Linked DNA regions of Caenorhabditis elegans. The protein of the gene in region 2 interacts with the protein of the main gene of each other region in a pairwise test. Each region holds a gene or a part of one and is shown on either strand. Other genes may lie near its edges.

What was found. The genes of interacting proteins can lie anywhere in the genome.
Region 1: the proteins of tnc-2 (region 2) and vit-5 interact in a two-hybrid assay, tested with the Caenorhabditis elegans proteins (one large-scale study listed by BioGRID).

What each region holds. Positions count from the first base shown.
Region 1 is NC_003284.9:3,401,565-3,405,400, reverse strand, and holds the start of vit-5 (Vitellogenin-5), read right to left. Parts: upstream 1,931-3,836; 5' UTR 1,921-1,930; coding exon 1,057-1,920; intron 987-1,056; coding exon 702-986; intron 655-701; coding exon 1-654. Other genes in the region: C04F6.9 (Gag-pol polyprotein), read right to left, coding at 2,791-2,856, 3,022-3,093, 3,331-3,390. UniProt on the Caenorhabditis elegans protein: Precursor of the egg-yolk proteins that are sources of nutrients during embryonic development. Together with other vitellogenins, may play a role in modulating life-span, acting via induction of autophagy and lysosomal lipolysis.
Region 2 is NC_003280.10:10,464,934-10,468,533, forward strand, and holds tnc-2 (Troponin C), read left to right. Parts: upstream 1-1,918; 5' UTR 1,919-2,003; coding exon 2,004-2,006; intron 2,007-2,083; coding exon 2,084-2,197; intron 2,198-2,299; coding exon 2,300-2,381; intron 2,382-2,430; coding exon 2,431-2,552; intron 2,553-3,012; coding exon 3,013-3,174; 3' UTR 3,175-3,417; downstream 3,418-3,600. Other genes in the region: sdz-37 (SKN-1 Dependent Zygotic transcript), read left to right, coding at 1-365; clec-143 (VWFA domain-containing protein), read right to left, coding at 3,418-3,513.

The sequences.
Region 1 (3,836 bases), on a different chromosome or scaffold from region 2:
TTCCATTTGGGAAACGATGTGAGCAAGAACTGGTTCTTCTGGAATGGTGTGCATCATTCTCCAAAGAGCAGCCATACGGAGCTCTGGCTTGTTTTGGCGGTTCTTGTAGACTGGAAGGAGAACCTTCTGGATCTTGCGTGGCATAACGTCCTTGAGAAGACGAAGAGCATCTACAGCCTCAGTGCGGATGGAAAGTGGTTGACGTGGATCTTGGATAATCTGGACAAGCTCATAGACGGAGAGGTCGATTCCGGCGTTTCCAAGGGTCTTAAGAGCAAGAACCTTCTCGTATGTGGAGTCAGCGTTACGGAAGTGTTGCATGAAGACGCGAACGTACTTTTCCTTGGTTTGTCTAGATGCTGGGCGGATCAATGGAAGGTCTTGGGTCTTTGAAGCAAATCCACGAACAACAGATCCTGCGGCGAGCCAGGCAGATTGGCGGAGTGGTTCGTACTTCTCAGAGAGTGGCGATTGGGCGAGTTGGATAAGAAGATCAGCAATGTGCTCACTTGGGTAAAGAGTTTCTTGAACAGATTTAAGAAGCTCAGCAGCTCTCAATGGTGTGATGCTCTTCTTCTCGAAGTGATGAATCAAGTGTTGAATGGTGTTCTTGGTTCCAGCGACAGCCAATGTGGTTTCAATGACAAGTTGAACCTAAGAGAGAGCATGATATTAGTGATTATGAAATGTGTATTGGTTACCTTCTTCTCGGCCTTAGTGTAGATGGTGGTGTGAACCTTCTTGAGTTCTTCGATGGTGCACATGCGGAACATGCGGACGGCGCGGGCAATAAGGTGGACAGTTTCTGGGGTGTTCTGCTCGTGCTCTTGAATTTGGCGGAAGATTTCTTGAAGTTGCTCAACCTTCTGCTCCATCTCGATAGCCTTGAATGGGTTGACCTCAGCCTTGTCTCCTTGTTGGTAGAATTGCTCAATAAGCTTCTCGTTTTCCATGGAGTAGACGATCTCCTCCTTTGGTCCAGAAACCTGAAAACTTGTGTGCTGCTGTTAGAGTTAGCTATCAAAAGCCCGTAAAATATATTTTCAAATAGAATACCTTCTTGATCTCTCTGTTGATCTTGCTCTCCTCGACGAAAGTGACCTTGGCGCGAGTCTCAGACTTGACGACCTCTTGTCCATTGACATTCAAAGTGTAAACGGAATGAACCTCAGATTCTTGCAATTTCTCGTTCTTGAAGGTGTAGGTGTAGACAGTTTGTGGCTTAACAAATTGCCCCTCCTTCTCGCATTCCTTGCACTCAGATCCAAAACGAAGACCATAAGCAGTCTCTGGGCGAGTGATGCATTTGTCGAAGTTGACAGATTTGGTGTAGATGGTCTTCTCTCCCTCTTGAACAATGGTGTAAGCGACTTCGCAGTCTCCTTCCATGGTCTTTTCATGAACATTGAAGAAAAGAGAATCCTTGTCGGATTCCATATCTTTCTGATCTTGGTTCATCTCATCAACTGGAGCTGACTTGCGGAGAGAGAAGAGATTGAGAATCGATCTTTTGGCGTTCTTGGACCACTCGGCATCTTCGGAAGAGAATTGGATCTCAGAAATAAGTCCATTTCTGATTTGAGCACGGAATGGAAGCTCAAGAAGCTCCTTGAACTCATCGGAAAGCTCACGTTGCTCCAAAGATTCGATCTTTGGCCATTGCTCAGATTGTGGAATGTGGGAAGCAGAGTATTGAATATCAGTCAATTGAAGATGAATGTAACGATCATCAACAGCTTGAAGACGGGTACGGCAAGAAATCAGGGTTTGGGAAGCATCGGAAGATGCGGTTGGGAGTCCAGAGAGAAGAAGTCCGTCAAATTTGTAGACGTATTCGCTCTTTGGAGAGAAGGTACGGTCAAGAGCCGGTGAGGCGGCAATCGCCAAGGCGACAAGAGAGGCAATGATTATCGACTTCATTGCGAGAGTGACTATGGCTTCTCCGTTACCCTTTTTATAGATGCAACTGAAATTGACACTATTCCTTCAAATCATCCTATCTTAACAGATTTATTCGATAAAGTCAATGTCAATCTGAACTTTTACCGCATTATCAGTTGAAACTGAAGTGCGCATGTCGTTCAGGTAGCGATCAGAGTACAGCTGTCACTCTTCTAATTCAACGTGCATATCGTGGTCGACGTATATGTGACCGTTATAAGTTTTTCTGAATGATTGCTTGAATGAAGTTAAAAATTTTTCTGTAGTTTAAGGATACATAACTATGTAGAGAGAAACCAATGATTGTGTTGAAATAAAAAGTTCAATTCAAAAATAGTATCAAAGGCTCTAAATAAAGACTTTGATAACTAAACAAAGCCAGAGTATTTGAAGTTACATATGTCCCCAGTAGACAGTTTTGCAAATGTCCCAATTTTAGTACCTTTTAAAAACTTTCACCTATAATTTTTTCCCTGTATGCTTACCTTCTAATTTTTCAACCATTTTAATCAAATGACTTACTAGGCTCATTGCAATTCTTCTTAAATTGTGCAAACTTTGATGCAGTTTTGATGTTAAGGAAACTTTTGACAAAAATGTATTTGAAAAGTGATTGTTTTCATTCACAAAAAGGACAACTTCCACAAGTTTTTTTAACCTAATTTTGAATTTTCCAAAACATGGCCAGGACGAAATAAGGCGTTCATGTTTGCGTTTATATTAAGAAAAAATAACCACATGACAGCTTTATAAAATTGAAATAAATATTGTCGTGAAAGAAATCATTGGAAAACGGGATATTAAAATATCAGGCACGTTGACATTGTATTAAATGAGGTTCATTTGAATTTACTTGCAATTCTCAACAAAACCATTTTCTTCTCCAAAGGCCGCCGCGAGTTCAACCATAACATCCTGAAAGTTTACTGATTTACTGGGAAAAAAAATTTAATAAACATTTATATTTTTGCTTTTGAATTTTTGAGTTCCCCACATATGAACAATTGGCAATTCGTCAAAAAAAATCTGAAGGAGTATCTTCATAGGTATCACTGTTTTTAATTTTTGAATAGAACCTACGTATGCATCTTTTTCCTCGACGGTCACCATTTCCGTAGTATCGATGCTGGAAGTCTTGTTGATTTTGAGATTCTGAAAAAATTGATATTTTTCAGATGTAACTGTTGTTTTTAATCCGAATGTTGAGATTCTCGTTTGTACATTAATAATACAATTTTTTTTGACATCCTAATAAAACCGTAGAATTTGGATTGTGGCGAGACCCACTCAATAAAACAGCTTGTGCATTTATCTCAGATGCCAAAAAATTTCAGAATTACGATATTTAATCATGGAAAAGTTGAATCATGTAACATTCTGCGCTATTACCTCGGTTCGTGCTGAGGCTATCGCTCCCGTAGATTTTGCAGCACTGGTTTTCGATTCCATTTTCTGAAAATTTACGGCATGATTAAAAATGAGAATACAAAAATTATTGATCGCTTCTTTCAAAAATCTGGCTGTGGTCGCATAAAATTAGTACAAAAAACTAAGGAAAGAAGGGAAAGGAAAGGACACCCATTGTGGGATGTGCAAATGACTCAGTCGTCCACGAGAAAAATTGTGTTCGTCGAGACCCACCGCAGAGGGCGAAAAGTAAAAGGAGCATTTTAAAATGCGAAAATGGATGAGTCGTACTCTCGATGCCAAAAAGATTTGTGGATATTAGCTGAAACACGAAATAGCTAAATACGATCCGATGGAATATCTTCTGAGCAATAGTGATGAGTCAACGAAATTAATTTGATAAGCAAACACGTTATTAATAAAATTTCAAAATCCTGTTCTATTTGTCATCATCATTTAAGTAACGAAAAATGAAATCTGACTAATCA
Region 2 (3,600 bases):
CTCGAAACAAGCGTCTCAACACTCATCAGAAATCTTGCCTTGATGAGCATGCTCGAAAAATGGCTGTTTTCATGATGGAGAGGCAAGAAGAGTACCGTTACTACGAGAACTTGGCCAATCAGGAACAATTCTCCGATGATGCCTGCTTCAGTGACACTGGAATGGACTCCGGATTCTGCAGTGGAGCCACTTCAACTGGACAATCAGCTTCAACTTCTCCTGCTCCAGCCCATCTCATCCCAAATCCATTTTTTGATCCAGAATATGTTGCCAAGGCTCAATCTCCAGTGAAACTCGTTGCCAATCCATTCTACAATCCAGAACTTGTCAAGGAAATCAAGAAGAAATCCCGTGTTTCAGTTTAATATTATTAATTATTTTTATTTATTTTTCCTCAAACAGTTTAGTCGGTTTTTCTGATATCCAGGTTCGGTTTTTATAATTGTACTTTTTCTTGGAAATGATTACAAAATTTCTGTCCGGTATTTTTTCTGTATTGGTTTTCTCAATTTTTAACAACTGTACTTTTACTCAATTGTTTTAATAAATTAATCAGACTAATTAAAAGTTGTTTTTCACTTCAAACGACCACGCTTTCAATACTAATTGAATACAATACATTTCTGAATAAAATTTTTTTGCTAGTTCCACCATCGAAAATTCCAATTACTCCAATTACTTTAAGCTAGTATTTTGTAGCACATTCGTTTTTTTCAAAATTTTCAGATGATTGATTGATTTATTTAACATAACTAATGCAATTTACAACTGTACAATTGAATTTTGAGTGTTAAATAAAACGGTAAAACGAGACTAACCCAGAAAGAGTACGTCTCGAGTTTGGGACGGGAAAGGAGAGAGAGGGTAATGTGGTAGAAGAGATCAGTTAGAAGTCAAAGAGAACCAGCGGATAAAAGTTAATACCGGGGAATATTGAGATCGAGAAAACTTGAAAACTGATAGGGGGAGAGAAATACCGGTATATTTTTGACAAGATTGTTCCAAATAGGAATGGATTTGGCAAAGAAATGAGAGGTGCATGTGTCTTTCCTAACCAGAATCATGGGTCTCCTATTGGAATTAGAGAACTTGACAAACTGAGTTAATTTAGAGAAATGAGTAGAACCGGTAAGAAGTCTATATAATAGTTTCATTTGAGCTTTAATTCTAGTGTGTCTGGTGGAGAATAGTTCCATGATGCACAGTCTGTTTTCGTAAGAGGTGAATTTAACGTTGCACCTTTGCAGGACGCGGTTGGTGAAGGTCCTAAGCGGTTTTTCAAGTATGGCAGAGAGTGAGGAGTTGGGGGAAGGGGAGTAGATCTCAGAGCAATAGTTTATGATGGGGGCAACGTATGTTTTAAATAAGTGGCTATAAGTTAAATAAGTGGCTATAAGTAAATAAGTGGCTATAATTAAATAAGTGGCTATAATTAAATAAGTGGCTATATAATTAAATAAGTGGCTATAATTTAAAAGTTGTTTTTCACTTCAAACGACCACGCTTTCAATACTAATTGAATACAATACATTTCTGAATAAAATTTTTTTGCTAGTTCCACCATCGAAAATTTCCAATTACTCCAATTACTTTAAGCTAGTATTTTGTAGCACATTCGTTTTTTTCAAAATTTTCAGATGATAAACTGCCCAATACTATTGGAAGTTTCTATAGTAGTAACACATTGACTTACTCTTTCCCCGAATACTTCAAAAATGCCTTCAACTGTACCCACCAATGCTCTATCAGTTTACCTATCTCCGAGCCCCCGAGTTCTACTTCTATCCGGCTGTATCCCTGCACAGTGCCTTTTTATGTCTACATCTCACACATTTTAACAGTCTGTCTCCAATATCCAAACACATCCCCCGCCGACGCATTGTGTGCTCTCGTTAGAGCTCCTCCCGCGCTGTAAGCCACTTGAGCAGTTTGTGGATTTTCCCTCTCTTTTCGCATTTTGTCGAAGAAACTTTTCCTCGTGTCGATCAGGTCAATCATCAATCATGGTAAGAGTTTTGTTTTATTGGTAATTTGTAGCTAATTATGTCTATAAATAAATCTGTGAATATGTGCAATTTTGTAGGGAGACGTCGTTGCTGATGCTTTGGAAAAGCTTTCTGCCGATCAGATCGAGCAATTCCGTAAATACTTTAACATGTTCGATAAAGAGGGAAAAGGATATATTCGTGCTACCCAGGTTTGTGGAGTTTTAATTTTGTAGCAAATTGCTGTTCAAATTGGAATTTCTTGAATTTTTCTTAAAATACTCCCAAGAAATTGTTAAACTCTGAAATTCCAGGTCGGACAAATCCTCCGTACCATGGGACAAGCCTTCGAAGAGCGTGACTTGAAACAGCTCATCAAGGAGTTCGATGCTGATGGTATACTTCCCCCACCGGCCATAAATCTACAGTACCAATCCTTTTTCAGGTTCCGGAGAGATTGAGTTCGAAGAGTTCGCCGCTATGGTTGCCAACTTTGTTGTCAACAATGAGAACGACGAAGGACTCGAGGAGGAGCTTCGCGAGGCTTTCCGTCTTTACGACAAAGAAGTATGTTTATTTGCAATTTTGGTTTCTAATATTTTTAGGGAAAATGAAAGGAGAGAAGTAAATCTTGAGAAAAATATGAAAAAAGTCAATACTTTTGTCCTATGTATTTCTTCTATTTGAAATTATGTGAATTCTGAAATTCTTTTTGAAAACTTTGTTTGTTGTAAACTAATAATTTGTTGAATTCTTGAGCATGACCTTTTTTCACGTTGTCAGCTTATATCTCGGTTTTCATTAGTTTAATCAAAAATTGTCAACTGGCAAAGTATGTACAAAATATTTCTCCAAATTCTGATAGTAATTTTTCAAAAATAGAACTAAAGACAACCAAGATAGTAGCCATCAAAGTTGAGTGATGGTTCAAGAGAAAAAATACGGTATGTCATCAATATTTCTTTTACAGTCTGAACCATTGAAATTGAAGAAAATATAATTTTAAAGCCTAAATTTTAACTTTCAGGGAAACGGATATATCAACGTCTCAGATCTTCGTGACATTCTCCGTGCTCTTGACGATAATGTTTCAGAGGAAGAGCTCGACGAAATGATTGCTGAAATTGATGCTGACGGTTCCGGAACTGTCGATTTCGATGAGTTCATGGAAATGATGTCTGGAGAATAATTTTAATTTTTATCCTACCAATGATTTCTGACGGCGCCTTACCATTCACTGACTTCCAATAATTCTTTTTGTAAAAAACAACAAATCTTACATTTTCATGCTTTCAATTTATTTGATAAAAGTTGATAAAAAAAATAAAAGAAATCTCAAAAAAATATTGTAAAAAAATTCCCATGTAGTCGACCCTTTTGATGTTAGAACAAGTAATGATTAAGAATAAAATTTATAAAATAAAATTGATCATCAATTTTCCAAATACGTAGTGTAGTATTCTGTGCTGCTTGCTTGAACTTGACAGATGAAGAGCCAATCATTGGTCTGAGGTGGAGCCCAGAAGAACTGTAACAAGATTTAAGGAAAATATTGAAGTACCGTATCAACGATATAAAAATTCATTTGTTGAAAGATATTGCAAAATTCATGTTG